Linked DNA regions of Macaca mulatta. The protein of the gene in region 2 interacts with the protein of the main gene of each other region in a biochemical or structural test. Links are inferred from orthologs where the notes say so. Each region holds a gene or a part of one and is shown on either strand. Other genes may lie near its edges.

Region 1 (7,622 bases), on a different chromosome or scaffold from region 2:
TGTAGCCATCTCTCGTATAGGGTGTAATCCTGAACACGTAAAAGCCATTCAAACACCTGCTGAATGAGCAGCGGCAGGAAGGTGTTCAGCGTAGGCAGACTGAGTCACTTCTTTTACAACCTTACCCTAAAAATAATCACTTTAAAACGATCAACACAAAAACTGGAAATCTAGTTACCTAATCCAAGTGATCCAATTTTATCACTGATCAATTTCAGATCTTTCAAAACCGTATTTCCCCTTTTACCTGTGAACAGGAAAAAATACTAGCATTAGAGTGACTTTTAGAATACAACAGTCTCTAAACCACATCAATTTTTGTTGTTGTTCAATATGGGGGCTTCTTTATGACAGGAGCATAATAACCTAAAACTAAGGAAAAAATAAACTGTGATTAATGAATGCTTAAACTATGCATTACAACCCTTTTTTTGAGATGGAGTCTCACTCTGTCACTCAAGCTGGAGTGCAATGGCGCAGCCTCGGCTCACTGCAACCTCCGCCTCCCAGGTTCAAGCGATTCTCCCGCCTCAGCCTCCTAAGTAGCTAGGACTACAGGCACGTGCTACCACACCCGACTAATTTTTGTATTTTTAGTAGAGACAGGGTTTCCCTATGTTAGATAGGCTGGTTTCAAACTCCTGACCTTGTGATCCACCCGCCTTGGCGTCCCAAAGTGCTAGGTTTAAAGGCATGAGCCACTGCGCCCGGCTACAACCCTTTTTAAACCATAAACAATACTACTTTATTGGAACACAACCACCAAAAAATATTTTTGCCTAATTATAAGACATCACTTTCCATAAACAGCCCTGTTAGGTATGAATTCATAGACTACTGTTAATTATTTTCGTGAATCTTATTTTTCCTTTGAACTTCTAAATTTTTCTTCAATGCAACTGCTATTTCATTTACTAAAGTGACAATCCTCACTGGTTTTTGGTCCTTCGTTCTCAACGTCCTCTCTAAATGATCATTCTCTAATCAGTGTCAGAATGACACGTTCATGATGTCCTGGATTCCTTTCTTAAAGGTGGCAGTAACCACAGGAAAGAAGCAAATGGGAAGGGATACGAACCTTATAAATACATGGCTGGTTTAAGAGAAGAAAGAGGTCGGCTCTCTTATGTGCCCTAGGAAGTCCCACAGTATATCAAGCAATACAAAAAGATTCGGAAGTACTGGACAATTATGCAAAACTCATACTGCAAATTCCTAGTGAATCTACTTTTGGAAACTTTCCAAAAGAGGTACACGAAGCTCTGAAACACTATGCTAATTAAATACAACATTTACTATTATATGGTTTCCAAAGGACCTCTGCCCATCCTACCTGTTCAGGGCTATGCTGTTTAAATTCCTATCACTGTGTGGGGAGAGGTGGGAAAGTAACTAGTGCCAGAGCTAGACTATTCCACATGTAATCAGTGCTCTTTAGCTCTGCTGCATTTACGATGACATGTCAGGTCATTCTTGAAAATGATCTGCAGAATAATTTTTTATTTAACATTTTATGATACTTACTGTGGTATCACTAAACAAATTTTTTAAAATTAATTGAAAGCAAATCCGACTCAAGTCACTGTAAATGTCCAAAAAAGGAGAGATGATTTAAAAATTATATTTCTATAGATAATACAAATCAGCTAAAAAATCAACTAAAAAGTATTCCGATGGTATGTAGGTATAGGAAGGGGCAGAATACAAAACAACATATAAAATATGACCACATAAGAAGTAACAAAATATTAACAGGAAAGATTTCTGAGTGATAAAATTATAGGTTATTTTAGTGATTTTCCTGGAAAAAAAAAATCAACAATAATCATATAGTGCTTAATTAGAGAAAAAATATCCCGAGTATTCAAGCCCACATCTTTGGGCACTTACTCTCAGAGTCTTTTAAGGAAGGGGCCCCCGCCAGGGAGCTGAGTCCACTTTTTAAGGGGGGTGCATCCGAGAGCGAGGCCAGGCTTCCTGGTTGCTTCCTAGGTTCACTCCTCCTAGCAAGAAACAAGGACAGTTAATCGGTGCTCTTATGTTCTGCCACTAAACACTTTTATCCTGCCACTGAAACAAAAGCAACTTAAAAGATACTTTATATGCACAGTGGCTGGAAATCAAGAATATAGACTTTAAAAATTCAAAACCATAAAGTATACCAAGGGAGTGCAAACTACAGATCAACCACAATCAGCACAGCCAGGGTGTAAGAAATCAGCTCACCTCTCTTTAGAATTCTGTTTGATAATCTTATAAACTAAATTGACCTCTGCACTGTGATTTTTTCCAGAAGCCCTTTTCCATCACCCAGACATGCAGCCAAGGGACAATACAGGAGTTTACTAGCAAATAAGTGCCACCTCACAGATTAAATATTGTTTACAGAAACCACAAACAGCCATGCTGATGAACTCCCCTTAAAGTCATGACCACTAACCTCAAGGGTACCTTTAACACTGCCCAACACCCCCCAGGTTTCCACAGTCCCTTCTCGCCTTACTTTGTTATAGAAAGATTTCACACTTTCTCCGCTCTCTTCAAATCGCAACCTCCGTCCTCCATCCTCATGCAACTATGAACTACGGTGACAGCTTGCACAGGTGCCACCATCATATCCACCCCCTGCCTACAACGGGACCCACACGCTCTCCACTTTTCCAGCAAACACAAGCCCCTGCATGGGATTCCATTGCTGTGCAGGCCTCCAGGAGTTCTCCTCTCACTCCCTTACATCATTAATTCTTCCATCTTTAAAGCTGAGCAGTGTTCGTCTGCATACATGCTGTTCTTTCTCCCACCTAAACACGCTTTTCAGCCCTAAATCCTACCCCACCAGCCACCACCCTGTTCCTCTGCACACTTTTACAACTCATCAGAAAACTATCTGTCATCTACAATCCTTTCCTGTCTTGAATGTACTCTAATTCTCTCACCTGCCTCACACCCCCATTCCAACAAAACTGTGTCAAGGTCATCACTGACCTCCAGATGGCTAAATCCAATGGCATCATACAGCTACTCCTCCCTACCGCCACCTCCAAAGACACCACTCTCCTGGTTCCATCTCCTCCACTGCTTCCAGCTCCCTACTCTGGCCTCAAGGTGTGCAGGACCTGCTTCCTTGGTGATCCTCTGTAGTCTCCCACACCCACATTATCTACAAACTGAAGACTCCTAATTTACATCTGCAGCCTAGACCTCTCCCAATCCCAACTCACATACCCAATCGCCTACTTCGGATTTCCACTAGCAATCTTCTCTAACTTAGCACAGCGACAGGGGCCTCCAGGCTTTCATGCCACCTGTCTGTGCAATCCACTCTTCCTCTTGCCATTCTTCATCTAATGGGTTTCCAACCTTCTAGTTTTGCAGGCTAAAAACCATGATGCCACTCTGGATATTACTTTTTTCTCTAGCACTTACTGGCAAATCCTTTTCCATCTAACCTCAAAATACTTCTAAAACCCACCTGTTTCTCCCCACCACTTCTATCACTTCTCACCTGAATAATCATTAATGGCCTCCTACCTGGAAACTCCAAGTCCAACCTTCCTCAGCAACCCTGGGATCCTTCTGTAATGGACGCTAGATCAAGACCCTCAGGGCTTCCAGTCTCAAAGGAAAGCCATCCAGCCTCTCATCTCTGAGTCCACCTCATCTGATCCCCATCTTGCTCTCTCTGCTACGTCCCCACTCACCTCTCTGCTGTCTGCTGTTTCCTCTCCCCAGAGCTCCATCAACCCATGGCAACTCCCTCATCTCCTCTAGTTCTTTGCTTACTGGGCAGCTCCAAGTGAGGCCCCCTCCAATTTGGACAGCTGACATGCACCTGCCCTGACCACACACTTCGGCTTCCATCACTGTTCTGCTCTCATCACCCAACACACCGCAGCATAACCCTCATTGCCTGACTCCGTTGCCAGAGCGGGAGCTTCCTGAGGGCAGGAGTCTTCCTCTTCTATCATTGCTGTACCCCACCCTGGAACAGCCCTGGCAAGTGGCTGACAATCTACACTTACCTGTTAGAATAAATCATGTCTAGGTTTTTCTAAAACCTGGGGTTGTTTTACAACATCAAAGGCATTAACAATGCATAATCAGATTTATGGATCCAATAATTATAAACCATCCATAGTTCATTATTTTTTAACTACAAAATGAAAACATTTATTTTTAAACCCCCAGTCTCACAGTTCAAAAACTATTTACTCACAAACCATAAGTTTTCTCTGGCTTGGGAATGGGATCATCAAAGAAAGAATCTCCTTCCATATCATCTTCATCTGGACAAAGGCCGGCTTTGTCTTTGCCATCTAAAGTTTTGTTGCTTAGAAAAGATCCAATCTTTGTTTCATGGGACAGTAAGTGAAGGCTGCTTTTGCTCTTGGGTTCTGACAGAGAGACACTTGTATCACTCTGATTGGCCTCATTGTTGGCTTTCTAGAAAGAAAGAGAAAAGGCCTCCTTGGTGAGATAAAACTTTAAGATATTTTAAATAATAAAAGAAGTCGCATGAGCATAAGGAAACCTGTGTTTGTGTGTGTGCAACCTCTGTGTGTGTGTGGGGGGGGGGGGGCGGCTCCCAGCAGTGTGAACTGCAGACCAATGCCATGATTCATCACTCCATCCCCAGGATTCCTAACATGGCAAACTTTCAAAGGTGGAAAAATATTAGAGAAATATATTAATACCATTCCTTTCCTCTTTCCCTAAATGGAAATAGCTTTAGTATACCTATCCCATTTATAAACACTTTCCCATTGAGAAACAATTTCCCATCTCCTCTTCCATATGTCATTGCTTTATAAATTACCTTAATACATTTTTCAACTTGAAAACAGGAGAGACCACTACTATTAAAGGAGAAAAGAAAGATTACATATGAATGAACCAAGCATTAAAGTAGTCATTCGTAAAAATAGCCATTTTCCATCCAGTGCTAAACACAACAGGCATCAAGGTGAAAGACACTGCCTTCAACCACTCAAACATAAACATTTGCTAATTAAAATAATTATCTCAATTCTGACTTCCAGGGTAACTTCCTAACCTATACTTATTTTGATGTCCATGGACATATATATCTATGTGTGTGTACGTGTATATTTCTCTACATATCTTAACACAACGTTATAAAAAAAATTCTGAATCATCCTTATCCATGCCCTTGGATATAGAGTGATGTTACCACTTTTCTTTTCTTATTTTCAGGGAGTCCTAACCTTCACGGCTGACTTTCACGCCATTCTTGGTCAGATTTCTTTCTGCCCTTAGACGGGTCTATGTTAACAATAATAATGAAAAAATAAATAATGCTAGTAATAATAAAAAGTAGTAATAATAAAAAGCAGCTAACATTTATGGTGAACATTCAAATGCTTCACCTTATCTCATTTAATCTTCAAAATGGCCCTATGATCTGGAGATAGCTTTATCTCTGTGGATATAAATAAGGAAACACAGAGACAGACATTTATGTCACTTGTCAAAGTCTCCAGTTAGTTAAGTGGTAAGGTCAATATCAAAGTCAAAGCCTGATTCCAGAGGTTAACTCAATATTTATGCTATTCGGCTAAATTATAATGAATTTGTGGGCTTTATGGGTTAAAAATGGCAATTTCCCAAAAGTCAGCCTTGTGTACTAAAGAGAGCAGTATTGTGTAAAATACCTGGAGTACTAGAAAAAGCACTCAACTGAAACAAAGAATCTGGAATGTAGTCCAAAATTATTAACTGCATTTTTTTTTTTTAAAGAAACAGGGTCTCACTATGTCACCCAGGCTGATCTTAAAACTCCTGGGCTCAAGCAATCCTCCTGCCTCAGTCTCCCAAGTAGCTGAGTTTATGAGATTACAGGCACAAACTACACCCAGTCGTATAATTTTTTTTTTTTTTTTTTTTTTTTGAGACAGAGTCTCGCTCTGTCACCCAGGCTAGAGTACAGTGGGGTGATCTGGGCTAAATGCGCTAACTGCAACCTCTGCCTGCCATGTTCAAGCAATTCTCCTGCCTCAGCCTCCTAAGTAGCTGGGATTTCAGGCGTGTGCTACTACGCTCGGCTAATTTTTGTATTTTTAGTAGAAATGGGGTTTCGACGTGTTGGCCCGGCTGGTCTCGAACTCCTGACCTCAAGTGATTCACTCGCCTTGGCCTCTCAAAGTGCTGGGATTATAGGTATGAGCCGTGAGCCACCGTGCCCGGCCCATATAATCTTAAGTAAATTAATTTCCTAGGCATGAGTTTCCTCAAGAATTGAACTAGATTCGTATTTTTCAGACCAAATTATATCTAGGAGTTAAGAAAGAAGGGATGGATGGCTGAGAAAGAATTAAAGAGTAGTAACTACTGAAGCATGGTGACCAAAGTTTGGGTTAGACATCATCAAACAAGATGCTCTTGAAGGATGGTTTCACTTTTCATATGGGTACAGACAGAATGCATTATGCATGTCTTATGATATACGTTTACATCTTTACACCAGGTAGAGGTCTTGACTAGTTGACAGTAGGCAAGATACATGCTGTGCAAATTTAGTGCCTTCTAGAGAGCTATACATTCCATTTTATTAATATAAATTAATGATTATAAAGAGATGTCTGAAAAAATAAATACCAAGTTATAATTTTAGACAACATATTTTCAAAGAGGCAGAAACTTTCAAAAATTTCCTAACAACTTTCTTGACGTTTTCCTGGTATTATCAAATATCGAAAAGTATGTAATTCACACCAGTTGTAATTTCTGATTTTTACATTAATAATGGATTTATTTAAAAGAATATGCATTTGGAAATAAATACCCTGATGTGACATTTAAACATATGTACAATGACAGAGCCTATGGCCATGACAGATTCCCCTTCTAAACACTCATGAGAAAGTACCAAAGAATAACTGGCATGAAAGAAACTGAAAAATGTAAATGTAAAGCAACATTATGAGAAACAATAATTATGCTGATTTCCCCAAGAATTCACACTGCCAACGTAACTTAAATCCACATAATGAACTATCTAATATCAAAGCTGAACAACTAATAGGTATCCATGATTATTTTTTGACAGGTTTGACCAATATTCCTGCTATGGACAGAAAGACCAGTTTTAGGAAGACAAGTTTTACAGAGAATTACTATATTACACAACACATACTTGTAAACATAACATAATTATTTTGTTTTAAAAATATAGTTCTCTTAATCCAGGAAGTAAAAATAAATTCTGAAACAATCTGCTTTGGAACTGCTCTCAAAATCAAGTTCTAAACCACACAGTAACATGTTACTGCTTTATAACTATGGCTCATTTTTGCCAAAAGATCATTACCCAGCTAGGTTATTAATGAATTCACTAAACTTAATTCCAAATAAACTTCACTACTTAAAAAATCTACACAGAGGAGAAATATTTGTCATCAACACATTTTGCAGATTAAAACCAAACTGAAAACGTTGAGAGTAGTTTCAATGGTTCCTCCAAGTATACAGCAGATGTATGCGTGTACACAGATGCTCAAACCACAAAAGGCCTTACCTGATAAACTGTCAAGTGAAAATATCACAAAGTTGAAAATGGGCACTTCATAGACATGATGAAGTGCAAAAACACAACATCCAAAAAA
Region 2 (7,432 bases):
GGGTTAATAATATATACTATACAAGCTGAGCACAGCGGCTCACATGGCTCACACCTTAATCCCAGCACTTTGGGAGGCCAAGTAGGGAGGATCACTTGAGGTCAGGAATTCAAGCCCAGCTTGAGCAAAACAGCAAGACCTCATCTCTACAAAAAATAAATTAGCTAGACATGTTGGTGCACACCTGTAGTCCTAGCTACTCGGGAGGCTGAGGTGAGAGGAACACTGGAGCCCAGGAATTGGAGGCTGCAGTGAGCTATGCACTCTATCCTGGGCAACAGAGAGAAACAGTCTCTATTAAAATAAAATAATACGTACTATACATAAATCTTCTGAAGATGACCAGACGCAATGGCTATGACAGGCACCTCATGAAAACGAAGTTGCTATACAAGTGTGGTCTTATACAAAGATGGTGGCATTATTCTTGACAATTTCCTATTTGCTTGGCAAAAAACAGAGAGCCACTTCCTGTAACTCAGTCCTAAACCCCCTTACCTGGGGCCCGCCCCAGCTTACAGAGATGGTCTGTGGTGCTGCTGTTGCAGCTTCACCGGCGTTAGGGTGGTTAGATTGTAGGATTAATGTCAGTAATGGGCTGACCTCAGCTGAAGGAAGTGGAGAGATGTAGAGCCACTCCCACTGCTCAACCTTCAGAAAAGTAAAGTGACCTCTCACGAAGCCCTCAGCTCACATCCTAACTTTTCCCCATCCTATAAGCCCACACCATACTCAACAGTGAGCTAAAAGGATTCAATTCCAACTTTAAGTTGGTTGGAGCAATAAAATGTCCAGTCTGTGCACCTCTCCACACCCAATTCCACCATTTGACTGCTGCACCTACCATATTCCATTGTAAATACTGCTTCCCTCCCCTCCCCTGCCAAAAAAAAAAAAAACTTAAAAATTATACCCCTAAAGATTTGCTGTTTGTTTTGTTTTTTGTCTTATTCTTGAAATCCATGTTCCCGTTCCCCTCCACCACTGTGGAGAAGCAGAAGCGAAAGGACACGCCTGTTTACTTAGCAGGTGGACCGTGCACCTGTGTTGATTCCCCTGCACCGGTGGCCTGCCCACCCACCAGAGCTCCCCAGGAACGCCGGGCGGACTGCCTTGCCTGAGCATCCCCTCCCCGCAGCAGCGGGCTTCCTCTTCCCTCTCCGCAGGCAGCATTTATTTGTACGAAGGTCTTCCAGCCTTGCAGAAGAGTTGCAGGTGGGGGAGGGGAGGCGCAGGGTTCAGGTTCAGATTCCATTTGTCTTTACAAAGGGACTGCCTTTCCCTCATGGACTTACTTGTGGTAGGTGTGTCGATTGTGAAGCTAAGTTGCTTAATTCTAGGGCTGATTGCCGGGAGCCAAAGGATCACCTACCCTGACGTTCCCGGGGCGCCCTATTCTGTCTTCCTCTTCTAAGGACTCGGTGACTGCCAGGCCACAGACCTACGGCAGGCCCCTGCCAGAGGCTCAAGAAAACTAACCCGACTGTCCCCGCTGCCTGCTGCTCTCTGCTCACAGGAGGGCGCTCGCTCCGAGCCCCAAGTTGTCCGCCACTGGAAGATAGGCGGCGAGGAACTGGAAGAAAGGGGGAGGAAAGGGGCGTAGGGCGGGAACCTAGCGGGGCGCGGGAGGGGTTGGGGAGTGCGTACTTTTCCAGAGGGAGCTGAATAGAGCCAAGGCTTGGGCACGGCTGTGCAGAGGGGGAATTCGGTCCCCGGTCTCTTGCAGCCAACAGCGCGACTTCTCCCTGCAGGACAGGGGAGGCAATAGAGAAGGAGGGGCTCCAAGAAGGTGCGGCTCCCAGCTGTTTACCAATCCCCACCCAGTGGATTCAGAAGACAACTTAATTCCACAAAGTTGGACCCCCAAGGGAAGAGGGGGAGGTGAGAGGGACGGAAGGATGTGGTCTCCATCTAAAGTCAAGATCTCTTCCCCAGGAGCTAGAGGTGGACTTGCCCAGCTCGGACTAGGCCTAGAGAGGCTGAATGATGTGGCATCATCCGGAAACAGCATTTACCCTCCTTACCCTCTTCCCTCCTGCCTGAAAACACTAATGCAGACGATGGACAGTAATTCAATTAGTCATCTTCTCTGATGGGGCTGAGATCCAGGCTGGGATCCCGTGGAAGTGCCGAATGAGTCATTATGCTGAGGCTGCAGAGACACCCCGCCCCATTACTGAGCACCCCCTGGTTCACGTGTTGGTACAGCTGCCAGCTCCTCAGACCACCATTCCAACAAAAAGGCCCTCATCCCTGAATGCAGGGACACACTCCTAGAGTGTGCCTCCCCAACTCCACCTGGGACCTGTGCAGCCGCAGTAGACTCAGTCACACAGCGTCCTCACTGGTCTAGGAAACTCCCCCAGCCAAGCCTCAGGCATCTCAGATGTGTCCTATCTGCCCCCTGCACTGTGGTGAGAAAGGGGACTTGCCCCACCCCAGGGCCCTTCTTGCCACACCCAGAGCAAAACTCATCTGGGAGCCTCTGGGACTATCTCTGCCCCACTTCCAGGCCCCCAAACTCCATCACATCCCAGCCCAGGGACCATTTCCATCTCCAAGCTCATCCCAGGACACTCTCTACTGGAAACCACTTGAGGCTTTCCTTAGGATGGCATTGCCAAGAGGGGCATCTCTCCTCATTCACATAAAGGCACCTTATGTGCTAGAGGGAGCCTTGTCAGGGTGGGTCCCCTGGCCTGGCGAGTCAATGAGTCATTTTCAGAGGTTGACTATGAGCAAATCTTCCGATGGCTGGTGCCCCACTAAGTCAAGGAGGAACAGAAATAATTCGGAAACCAGGACACAAGGGTAAATTTGACCAAAAAAAAATTTATTGTACAATTACCCACCACTCGATTTGACTCAGAGAGGACCCCCAGAGGGTGACTCCATCTTCCCTATTTATTTTCAGCCCTTGAGGGCTTCATTGTAGATCAAAGCCAAGGCCCCCAGGAAGGTGACATACTCCTGGAAGTTCACCTCCTGGTCCTTGTTCCGGTCCAAGTCTTCCATCAGCCTTGCAATTTCAGCATCCTGCAGCTTCTAACGTGTTAGAATGTGAAATCCAGACTCAGTGGTGATGACAATCTTGGATTCTTCCGCTTCCCCCTCCCAGGCAGCCATCTCTGCAAGTGGATCTGTGCTCCCTCATCATCAAGGACCTATGTCCACCTTGAGTTTCACTTTGGCATTACTTCTCCTCAGCTACTCCTCAGTTACTGGCCCTCATTTGGAGCGATGGATATCAGGCTGGGAGCATCCCCTACCCTCTGGGAGAGTGGGTCTACAGCTCAGTAAGACATGTGGACCAGGGCCTCAGAATGTGGGTAAATATGAGTCAGATGCACCTGGCACCTCTCCCTCCCCTAATCCTGCTTCCAAAGGACAAGGGTGGGAAAAGGGGTCCTGCAGAGGAGGCCACTCACCGAGCCAATGGTGAGCTCCTTCTGGATCAGCTCCTTCAGCTCCTTCTTGCTCAGGGTGTGCTTGTCACCCTCCCTGCCGGAGTACTTGTGGAAGATGGCCACAAGGAGGCCGATGGCCTGATCCAGGGGGCATGCCATGGCTGAGGGCTGGACTTGGAGCTGGCAGCAGAGGGCCTTGTCAGTGCCATGGGAGCAAGGACTTCTCACCCACACCGCCCCATAATGCTGCCTGCACTAGCCCCGACCCCTCTGGAACCACCCAGTCTCAGGCCACACACAATGGCATCAGGAGACAGCCCAGGACTTGAAGGGGAAGGAGAGAGAAGACTAGGGTCAAGGCAGGAGAGGTGGCTTAAGGATTCTAAGAAGCATATAGGAACAGTAGCTTTGGGCACAGCTGAGAACTGTCCTTCAGGGGATCCAGAAGTTAGGGAGTATGGCTGGGCAGGGGAAGGGGATAGAGGCTGCACAGGCAGCTTAAGCACAGCCTCACAGGGCCACACGTGGTGGCAATGACACACCCAGGGCACTCCCTTCCGCACCCCAAAAGAGCACACCCCATTGGGATCCCTTAGCCCAAGGCCTGCCTGGCACAGCACTGCTGCTTCTGACTATCCCTCCAGCGGGGGAGCGCCACAGACGGCCCCAGTCTGAATCCAGCAGCTGGACGGGGCAGGGGATGGCTGGAGCCCCAGCGTGAGGACGGCTGGCCCTGGGAAGTACCCAGGGCTCCTGGCGAGAACTCACCGGTAGGGAGGCGGCCAAGTGCGACGGGAGCGGTCGAGGGGATGGGCTGTGTCGCAGTCCGGCTGGCCTTATAGCGGTCGATGCCCCGGAGGCTCGGCCAAGCCCACCCCACCCGCCCAAGTCCCGCCCGCGCCCCACCCTGCGCCTTGGCTTACACAACACACATTCGCAGTTTCTCCCCTCGACTTTCCACGCCTCCTGCCCGGGGCTGTTCCGGGTTAGGACGGGATGGGGGAGCCCAGCAGATGCCACTGCAAGCCCGGTGACGACGAGTCTCCCCTCATCTGCGCAGCTCACTTTGCTCAGTTTGCTCTTCGTGACACGTGACTCGGCAAGGGGAGCAGGAGGCGGACGGCGGCGGTCACCCCTGCTCCCTCTGCCAGACCATGAATGTGACCCTCGAGCCAGCGCAGCGTCAATGTGGGCAAGGAGGGCGCCTCACAGGATTCCGGTGTCCCTCAGAGAATACTCAGGGTCACCCCAAAGGAGATAGGGGAAGTAGCCTGTAGTCTAAAGGATATCTATGGCACCCATCCCCCACCAGCAACAAGTTCCTACCACATCTCCACGCCTTCCCCTCACTGCCCCAAATTCCATTCACTACAGCACCTTTCGTGTTAGTGTGCATGCAGGCGGGAACCCAGCCCTGTAAGCACCATTCGTTATTTCAGACCCTCCCCTGTGAAAAGATTTCGATGGAGGAGGTAGGGAAAGAAGAAAGCATTGGCCCCCAGAGAAGATGAGAGGGGTGCTGTTGAAGGGGAAATGGAGAAGAGGGAGGGGGCTGGTGTGGAGGCCAGACTTGCCCTTCCTAAAGGTGCTGCCAAGGTGGCCTCAGGTGAGCTATGGACAAGTCAGGCCTGCCTGCCACTCCCAACCCCTCCCAGTGTCCTCCTCTCAAAGCAACTTTCCCTCTTAGCTTCCTCTGCATCCTTGCAGAGTTCCCGCCTGGCCTGACTTCCCCGTTTTCCAGGCAGGCAAAACTAAGCCACGACAAGACCAATGAGACATCCACACCAAGGAAGGAGAAGAATGCAGTGAAACCCCAGGACCCTAAACCCCAGAGGCAGAGGCTGTCTCAACCCACTCAAGGAGAGACCCCTCCTGTGCTCCCCTCTCCCCAGGCCAAGGTAGACAAGACAGCTTCAAAACCAGACTCCCAGCACCTGCAATGGAAACTTTATTTCCTCCCATGGAAGGGTCCATCTGGGAGGGAGAGGAGGGCAGGGGGCCAAAGAGGGTCCATGAGAGGAGCAGCCAAGGTCAGCAGCAAGGGGTGGAGGGTAAGGGCGGAGGGCAGCCCGGGTCACTTCTTGTCCTCTAGGAAGAAGTCGTTGTAGGCCATGCACAGCGTGGTCAGGAACACCGAGTACTCCTTGAAGTCGATCTCCTGGTCACTATTCTTGTCCAGGCTCTTCATCAAGTCATCGATGCTGTTGTCCTTCATCTTCACAGACCCAGGTGGAGGGACAACTCAGACCCCACTCCCAGCCCTGCCCTCGCACCACTGCATGGTGTCATACCCACCCTGAAACCTCAGTGTGAGCCCCAGCTGAGTCAGTGACACTGTCAGCATCTCGACCCCCAGAGTCTGCCTGCTGCCCACACCTAGGCAAGGGCCTGGCATGAAGTAGGGGGTCAGGGACCTGACTCCTGAATGGAAATAAATGACAGCGGGAATGCTAGCCTATCCTGCCTTCCCTGCAACACTGTCCCCCAGCCAAATAAACAATCATCTGGGTTTTATACTAACACCTGATAAAAACAGCTTGCTGGGTCAGGCGCGGTGGCTCACACCTGTAATCCTAGCACTTTGGGAGGCCGAGGCGGGTAGATCACCTGACATCAGGAGTTCAAGACCAGCCTGACCAACACGATGAAACCCCATCTCTACTGAAAATACAGAATTAGCAGGGCATGATTGTGCGTCCCTGTAATCCCAGCTACTTGGAAGGCTGAGGCAGGAGAATCACTTGAACTTGAGAGACAGAGGTTGCATTGAGCAAGATCATGCGCATTGCACTCCAGCCTGGACAACAAGAATGAAACTCCTTCTCAAAAAAAAACCTTGCTGATTATGTGGCACTGAGCGTTATCCAAGTCTCTGAGTGACTCTCTCCCCGTTCTAAGGACTAGGTGAGAATAAGCCCAGACAAAATGTCTCTCAATGAGAGCAGTGCACCGGGGCTGTGAAGCCACTGCATCCCTCTGCTGCTAGGAGAGCTGTGCAAGAGGCCTGCCTGGAGCCCAGTTGTGCACTCTTGTCTGGTCCTCTGATGTCCCAGCCTGGCTCCACTACGACGATGGAGTCAGGGTCCTTTGGGTGGAACAGGAAGAAAATATAGACAAGCAGATCCTGATGTCTCCTCATCATTGCCATCAGCTACAGGTTTTCACAGGAGACATTGGGACTTATGGAGGCGGAAACTGCTTGTCTGTGATATGATCCTAGTCCCCAGCCTGGGCTCCTGTTATTGCCAGGCCCTCCCATGGGCGTTTCTCCTTCTGTAATTAACCCCTACTGTACCCGTGGCCTCTCCCTTTGCCCTCATTAACTCCAGGATGCAGGGAACATGGCAGAAGCTAGAGATCAGGCCTGGGGACGCCCACCCCTGCTTTGGTCCCCTGCCCATGTGGCACACTGTGGACCTTCTTTCTGGGAGGGCCTACCAGGGCTCAAGGTGTAATAGATGGAGAGGCACCCAGGCCAAATTTTAAAGGAAACAGGGAGGATAATTCACCGGCCTGGCCCAGAACTCCAGTTCAGCCCCCTTAGGCAAGTTATTTGATGCATTTGAGCATTGATTTTTTTAACTGTAAAAATAATAAGACTAGGCACAGTGGCTCATGCTTGTAATTTTAGCACTTTGGGAGGACGAGGCGATAGGATTATTAGAGACCAGGAGTTCAAGAACAGCCTGGGTAAAATAGTGAGACCCCATCTCTACAAAAAATTTTAAAAATTATCTAATCATGGTGGTACTCGCTTGTAGTCCTAGCTTCTCAGGAGGCTGAGGTGAGAGAATCGCTTGAGCCTGAAAGTTCAAGGCTACAGTGAGCCATGAGCACACCACTGCACTCTAACCTGGGTGACAGAGTCTTATTTATCCTTGGCCAGGCGCAGTGGCTCACACCTGTAATCCCAACACTTTGGGAGGCCGAGGCGGATGGATCACGAGGTCAGATGTTCAAGACCAGCCTGACCAATATGGTGAAACCCCATCTCTACTAAAAATACAAAAATTAGCCGGGCATGA
Region 3 (7,622 bases), about 81 Mb from region 2:
TTCCTTTTGGGAAAAAAAGGAAGCTTGAGTTAATTACAGTTAATAAGCTGGAGGGAAGAACTGAAGTTGCAACTCAATCCTAGAAAATTTAGATGAACCTCTTAATTTTTAGTGCTTATTTCAGTAAGTTGAAATGAGTGATAAGCACAATATCAAGCTATTTCCTTATTGATCATAGCTAACTTATTTTTTGTCTTAACACAGCTACAGAAAGATCTAGAAGAGGTAAAGGTGTTGCTGGAAAAGGCTACTAGGAAAAGAGTACGTGATGCCCTTACAGCTGAAAAGTCCAAGATTGAGACAGAAATCAAGAACAAGATGCAACAGAAATCACAGAAGAAAGCAGAACTTCTTGATAATGAAAAACCAGCTGCTGTGGTTGCTCCCATTACAACGGGCTATACAGTGAAAATCAGTAATTATGGTATGACTTGCTTCCCTGTGGCCAGTTTTGCCTCCGAGCAACCTATTCCTCATAGTGATCTAACAAATTCATCTTTAAATGAGTTTTGAGGCTGTGTTTTCGGTGGCTTGGAGGAAGACCCATCAGTTTTTATTTAATAAAACTTTCTTTAGATAGAAATAGGAAAGGATACATTCTAGAAGCTGTTAACAAGAATAAGGTGATTTACTACAAAGATGAGGAGTAGCAACAAGGAAGGAACTTATTCTGAAATTATTCAGTATATATGAGGCACCGCTTTGGTGGTGGTGGTGGTTTTTAATCATGTTTTATGTTTCACTCTGCCAACCACTACAATTAACTGAGGAGAGGAATCCAGTTAAATTCAGGAAATATTTTTGAGCACCTAATGTATATCACTATTGTGCTTGGACTTACGGATACACAACAGTGACTAAGACCCAATCCTTTCTCATGGTGTGGTTGGGACATAGACGTATAACTCATAGCATAACAATGTATTAGCAAAACAGTATTAGCAAAAACTAATACTGTTTTCCTTCAGTGGTGTATATAGTGTTTTTGTTTTGGCGGCAGTGCAACTTCAGTGAGAGTGATGAGCTCTCATTGGAGCAAGGACAGTCTGGTTTTTCTTTGTGCTAATAATGTCTAGCACATAATAGGTAACATAGCTGAGGAAATAATTCTGGAGGTGAGGAACAGGGAGAATTAGATGAGTGTGAAGGGTGAGCTGTACGTTCAGCAAAAGGAAGGGAACAGCATGAGCAGAGGACATGAATAGAGACTTGGAAGGCATGATCTATTTTGAGTATTGTTATAGTGAAAAGCATGTGTATGTCGTGCTTAAGTGATGTACTATATAGTACTACATGAAATTGCACCGTGTACTCAGTTGAGTATGGGAAACTGGTCTGAAGGTGTTTAGGATTATGGCATTTTAACCAGGAACATAGATTTGTGTTGAGGGAGAAACTTGTCAAACCGGAGGATGGACTGACTGGGAAGAAACTATTAATAAATGAAGTTCTCTGGAACCCTCTAGGGCATTTTTTTGATCAACACTATGTTTCTTTTTAATTTTCGTGGGTACATAGTAGGTGTATGTATTTATGGGGTACATGAGATGTTTTGATACAGGCATGCAGTGTGAAAACATGTCATGGAGGATGGGGCATGTTTCTATTCCGTAGGACTAAGTGAGGAAGAGTCAGGGATATGTATGTATATATTCTTGATAAACAGAAGATGCTTTTTGTGAAGTTTTTTATTTTCTACAAATACGATGGTATTTTGTGAAGCGTATATGTCTTGTATGTTGACAGAGTTCTTCTAGGTTAGAGACTTGCTGGTAGGTTGATAATACATACTGAAATGGCATTTAATAGATACCAGTAGGTTTGTCAGATTTGGATGAAGAATTGGAGTCGTTTACATTCTGTTTTGCCCTGGAAAGGAATTAAGAGCGCTAGGATTCCATTTGTTATACTACTTAGAGAAGTAGAAATGGTTATGGAATTAGACAGTATTGATACTTAGCCATCCAGCTTAGTGGAGAACTACCGATATTTAGATGTAGGACAAAATTGTTTCCATAAAAGCAGTAAATGAACTAATCTTTTTTTTTTTTTTTGAGACAGAGTCTCGCTCTGTAGCCCAGGCTGGAGTGCAGTGGCCGGATCTCAGCTCACTGCAAGCTCCGCCTCCCGGGTTCACGCCATTCTCCGGCCTCAGCCTCCCGAGTAGCTGGGACTACAGGCGCTGCCACCTCGCCCGGCTATTTTTTGTATTTCTTAGTAGAGACGGGGTTTCACCGTGTTAGCCAGGATGGTCTCGATCTCCTGACCTCGTGATCCGCCCATCTCGGCCTCCCAAAGTGCTGGGATTACAGGCTTGAGCCACCGCGCCCGGCCGAACTAATCTTAAAGAATGTATTTAGTGATCGTATTTTTATTCTGAAGGATAAAAAGAGCATAGGCTTTGTATTCAGAAACCTGGATTTGAATCTGAATTCTATCACTTGTTAGATGCCTAACTTTGGGTAGAGTACTTAACTGCTTTGAGGCTCCATTTCTCAACCTAGAAAATTTCTTGGGTTTCAAATTTTTGTATGACTGGATTTTCATAATTTTACTTTCCTGAGTTATGAGCCATGTGCATTTGCTGTTCTAGAGATAGTTTCAGAGACTTACTTATGTCCCATCTTTTGTTGTCGTTGCCAGGATGGGATCAGTCAGATAAGTTTGTGAAAATCTACATTACCTTGAGTGGAGTGCATCAAGTTCCCACTGAGAATGTGCAGGTGCATTTCACAGAGAGGTGAGTTCTCATTATATTGGGAAAGACGATGATCATTAACAGTCAACATTGCCTTATCTTGAGACTCTTTTCTTTGCAGTTTTTAAAATTCTTCTTAAATTTAGAATTAATTATCCTTTACAACTACTTTCAAGAGGTGAGCATTAACTGGCCAAATGCACACCCTGAAATAAAGCTAGCAGCTTTTTTTCCACTCTGATGGAGTAAGAGTACCTTTCATAGAACTAGAAAGATGATGTATTCACCATTGTGTTGCAGGTCATTCGATCTTTTGGTAAAGAATCTAAATGGGAAGAGTTACTCCATGATTGTGAACAATCTCTTGAAACCCATCTCTGTGGAAGGCAGTTCAAAAAAAGTGAGTGCTTTTTTTGGTCGTAATATTCTGAAACCTTACCAGATTGAACCTAGCTGATTTAGAATTGAGATGAACTGGAATGAATTTGTCCTGTAACAGGGACCACTGCCTGTTTAGTGAATGTTTCATTGGGACATAGCCAGGCTTATTTGTTTGTGTGTTGTTTGTGGCTGCTTTTGTGCTACAATGGCAGAGTTAAATGGCTGCAGCAGACCACATGGCCCTAAGTGAAACCTAAATATTTACTGTGTGGTCCTTGACAGAGAACATTTGCCAACTCCTTTTGTAGAAGAATAGGCTGTTGTAAGAATATTCCATTAAAATCAGGAAGGAAGTAAACGTTTGAAGGTAGTTAAGAGTGAGACTTGAGTTTTATGCCAGGTTTACCGCTTATTGTTTGTGACCTTTGGCAGCTTAATCACTCTGTGCCTCAGTTTCTGCATTTATGCAATAGTAATAATGTATTTCACAAAGTTGAAATGATACACTGAAGTGCAATACCATATGTAAAGTGCTTAAATTAATGGTAGTGTTGGCATTGTGCATAATACTCATATACATAAAAGGAGGTCTTAAGCACTTAGCCTCCTTGGAGTTAGAAACAGCTATAAAAATAAGGAAACTGTCTTTTAAAAACTACTCTTTATAATTTTTACTAAATCAGATAGTCCCTCTTTTCTGCCTAATTTGAATAAATGAAGTTTAATGCATTAGGTATATACATATGCCATTCTGCCATCTGTTTTTATAATACATAATTACTTAACAGCTTACAGGTGATACTCAAATATAGTTGGATTTGCTGTATTCCTGCACCCTTCCGCATCCACTAGTCCCGTACGTAGAGTACCAAAAGATCCCTAGAAGTCGTGTTGATCATTGTTTAAAGACCTGTACATTCATTGCCCTTCTTTCACACTTTCCAAATGCCTCACCTTGCTCCATACTGCCTTATGTGACTTGGTTTCTTGCCTATCCTCGACCCCTCTTATTATATTACTATCTCTCTCAGTCACTAAAATCCAGCCACTCCTCCTGCTCCTCAAACACACGAAGATCATCCCATCTTGGAGCCATTCTACATGGCTCTGCCAGCTGCCTTCTCCTGACCTTAAGCTTCAGCTCAGATTTTGCCTCAGGGAGGCCTTCCTAATGAAGTTCCTGCTCCCACCCCCATTAACACCTGCTTTGTCTTGCCAGCACTTTCTAGGATATGACGGTATTCAAGTTTTACTTATTTACGGTCTTTTCACGCCATGAATGTTCAGATTTTGGCCTATTCATACAAGTATTACTAGCACCCCAAATAAGTCTATACATACTAGGGACTTGATTAATTAAATAATTGTTTTGTCTTCTAAGCTGTATTTGTTTTCCCGCTTTTCTTCCAGGTCAAGACTGATACAGTTCTTATATTGTGTAGAAAGAAAGTGGAAAACACAAGGTGGGATTACCTGACCCAGGTTGAAAAAGAGTGCAAAGAAAAAGAGTGAGTCTACTTTCATTTTTTAAAGAATTTTAGTGTATTGTTTCAGATCATAGATTTTTAAGTTTGTCTTTATGGATAATATATTTCTGCTTTCAACTGTCAGAAACTACCTGAAGAGGGCGCGTCCAGCAAGTTGCTTTTTAAGGTCTTTGTAGTTAACAGTTGGCTCTTTAGTGTGGTTGTTAACCCTAGGCACTTCTATACAAATACTGTGCCTATTCCCAGATACTCTGTTTCAGTAGTTCGAGAGAGGCTCAGATACCCCTGTATGTTTTAAATTTCTCAGATGTTTGTGATACGTAGTTGTTTTCATTGTCACTGGTTTAGAGTGAAAAAGATAAAATATTTTTATCCTCCTTAATAATGACCTTTTAAAAATGTTTATTCAATGATACTTGCATTCTAGGTCAGTTCATCTTCTAGAGGTACTGACTAATTCAAGACTCAGGTCCAGATCTGTGTATCTCAGGCTTAAGAGGAGAGCTTTTCTAATTATAAAATACATGAGCTTCAGGGTACATCCATGTGTAATGTTTGTGATTTTCCCTCAATTTTTTTTTTCCAAATTATGAGGAAACATGCTTTTAAAAAATGAAAACAAGTTAGAAAATCAAATCTTTACTTTTTTTTTTTTTTTTTTGAGACAGAGTCTGGCTCTGTTGCCCAGGCTGGAGTGCAGTGGCCGGATCTCAGCTCACTGCAAGCTCCGCCTCCCGGGTTCATACCATTCTCCTGCCTCAGCCTCCCGAGTAGCTGGGACTACAGGCGCCTGCCACCTTGCCCAGCTAGTTTTTTGTATTTTTTAGTAGAGACGGGGTTTCACTGTGTTAGCCAGAATGGTCTCGATCTCCTGACGTAGTGATCCGCCCGTCTCGACCTCCCAAATCCTTACTTATTTTACCTGTTAAAAATGAGGCCAGGCGGGGTGGCTCATGCCTGTAATCCTAGCATTTTGGGAGGCCGAGGCGGTGGATCACCTGAGGTCAGGAGTTTGAGACCAGCCTGGCTGACATGGTGAAACTCCATCTCTACTAAAAATACAAAAATTAGCCGGACATGGTGGCACGTGCCTGTAATCCCAGCTACTTGGGATGCTGAGGCAGACAGAATTGCTTGAACCTGGGAGGCGGAGGTTGCAGTGAGCCAAGATCGCACCACTGCACTCCAGCCTGGGTGACAGAGCGAGACTCCGTCTCAAAAAAAAAAAAAAAAAAAAAAAAACATGGGAAATCCCTGTGCCTAAAAACAGCCCCTTACTATTTTGATGACCTCTTTCATGCACCAAGTGTGTGCATGCTTGGTAGGTGTGTGGTGTTTTCATTAAGATGAACTTAGGCGTGCCATTTTGATTGTGAATATCTTTGGATACACTGTCTTCCCTCTTATCCCTCTACTTCCTGCCAATGTTAACAACCTGAATTATAGTATCTTCCCCCGTGCCTTCATTTCTCCATTGTTGTATATATTTTCTTTTTAAAGGAAGCCCTCCTATGACACTGAAACAGATCCTAGTGAGGGATTGATGAATGTTCTAAAGAAAATTTATGAAGATGGAGATGATGATATGAAGAGAACCATTAATAAAGCCTGGGTGGAATCAAGAGAGAAGCAAGCCAAAGGAGACACGGAATTTTGAGACTTTGAGGTCCTTTTGGGAACTGTGATGTGATGTGGAAATACTGATGTTTCCAGTAAGGGAATATTGGTGAGCTGCATATATAAATTTGACAGATAGCTATTTACATAGCCTTCTAAGTAAAGGCAGTGAATTCTCCATTTCCTACTGGAGGATTTATTTAAATAAAATATGCTTATTAAACACTCCTGCAAAGATGGTTTTATTAGTACCTTGGTCATTTTGTTCAAGGAAGGGTTATAATTGCATTCTCATGTGAAATATAAAAAGCAAGTCTTGCCCAATAAAAACGCTACATTGTGTGTATTTTTTGTTCAGCTAAGAATTGGAAAAGTATTTGCTTGCCTTTAAGTTACTGACATCAGCTTCCACCAGTGTAAAAATTGAGTAAAACCTGAAGTTTTGCATAAAATGCAGATCGGTACCTGTGCTTGAAGGTTGCTGTAGAGCATCTGACCCCTTATTACCACCTTAAGCAATGTGTATGCCATGCATTACCATGCACTAATTCAATCACAGGTGTTTCTATCTAGATTGAAATATGTTTGTCAATGAATATAGAATAGAAACTAAATCTAAACATGACAATAATAGACACACATCTTTGTATGGTACCAGTTAGTTTTGCCGTGGATCAGATGGTTTATGAAAGTAATAACCATAAAGCAAAAAATAATCTGAAAGCCCGTCTATTCCTATGCTCAATAAAGTTAAGTTTTTCTTCATTAGAACAGTTTTATGATTTATTTGCCTAGGAGTATGTCAGAAAAATGAGGCTTCTAGTAGGAATTATTCCTATTGCCCCTGAAGTCAGGACCAGTGCCTGTGATCTCCATTACTATATTTTATTGGAGGTATTAACCAACACAGTTAGATCAGAGAAAGCAATTGAAGCCAGGCATGGAGGCTGGTGCCCATAATCCCAGCTACTCAGGAAGCTAAAGCTGGAGGATCACTTGAACCCAGGAGTTTAAAGCTGCAGTGAGCTATGATCATGCCACTGTACTCCAGCTTGGGTAACAGATTGAGAGCCTGTCTCATTTAAAAAAAAAAAAAAGCCATTAGACACACAGGAAAAATCCAAAAGGGTAAACTAAAGCCACAATTAATATGGGAATTTGGAAAAAGTGGTAGGATTTACAATACAGCAACAGCTTATGTATAGGATAGCTGTAAGTAAATACTGAAACACATTATGCCTCTGTAATTGGTGTTGATACATGAACAGAATAGCAGACACAATGCATATGAAAGTTACAGAATATGGTAAAAGTGGGATAAAGATTGGTTTTTAATGATGGTAAGATAACTGAAAATAGGCATATAGATACATTCCAGGCAGACTGAAGATCTAATTGTAAAAATGAAAACATATGGGCCGGGCACGGTGGCTCAAGCC

The links. The genes of interacting proteins can lie anywhere in the genome.
Region 1: the proteins of S100A6 (region 2) and CEP43 form a complex in vitro, tested with the Homo sapiens proteins (2 studies listed by BioGRID and IntAct, with this or other methods). The link is inferred for Macaca mulatta from reciprocal best matches to the Homo sapiens genes S100A6 and CEP43.
Region 3: the proteins of S100A6 (region 2) and CACYBP are reported together in a solved structure, tested with the Homo sapiens proteins (2 studies listed by BioGRID and IntAct, with this or other methods). The link is inferred for Macaca mulatta from reciprocal best matches to the Homo sapiens genes S100A6 and CACYBP.

What each region holds. Positions count from the first base shown.
Region 1 is NC_133409.1:5,062,590-5,070,211, forward strand, and holds part of CEP43 (centrosomal protein 43), read right to left. Parts: intron 4,444-7,622; coding exon 4,217-4,443; intron 2,004-4,216; coding exon 1,891-2,003; intron 248-1,890; coding exon 179-247; intron 1-178. UniProt on the Homo sapiens protein: Required for anchoring microtubules to the centrosomes. Required for ciliation.
Region 2 is NC_133406.1:113,505,248-113,512,679, reverse strand, and holds S100A6 (protein S100-A6), read right to left. Parts: upstream 4,294-7,432; 5' UTR 4,176-4,293; exon of another isoform or gene 4,016-4,175; intron 3,588-4,015; 5' UTR 3,567-3,587; coding exon 3,429-3,566; intron 3,046-3,428; coding exon 2,911-3,045; 3' UTR 2,827-2,910; downstream 1-2,826. Other genes in the region: S100A5 (protein S100-A5), read right to left, coding at 5,482-5,622. UniProt on the Homo sapiens protein: May function as calcium sensor and modulator, contributing to cellular calcium signaling.
Region 3 is NC_133406.1:32,462,378-32,469,999, forward strand, and holds the end of CACYBP (calcyclin-binding protein), read left to right. Parts: intron 1-204; coding exon 205-424; intron 425-2,643; coding exon 2,644-2,740; intron 2,741-2,998; coding exon 2,999-3,098; intron 3,099-4,489; coding exon 4,490-4,587; intron 4,588-6,066; coding exon 6,067-6,223; 3' UTR 6,224-6,910; downstream 6,911-7,622. UniProt on the Homo sapiens protein: May be involved in calcium-dependent ubiquitination and subsequent proteasomal degradation of target proteins. Probably serves as a molecular bridge in ubiquitin E3 complexes. Participates in the ubiquitin-mediated degradation of beta-catenin (CTNNB1).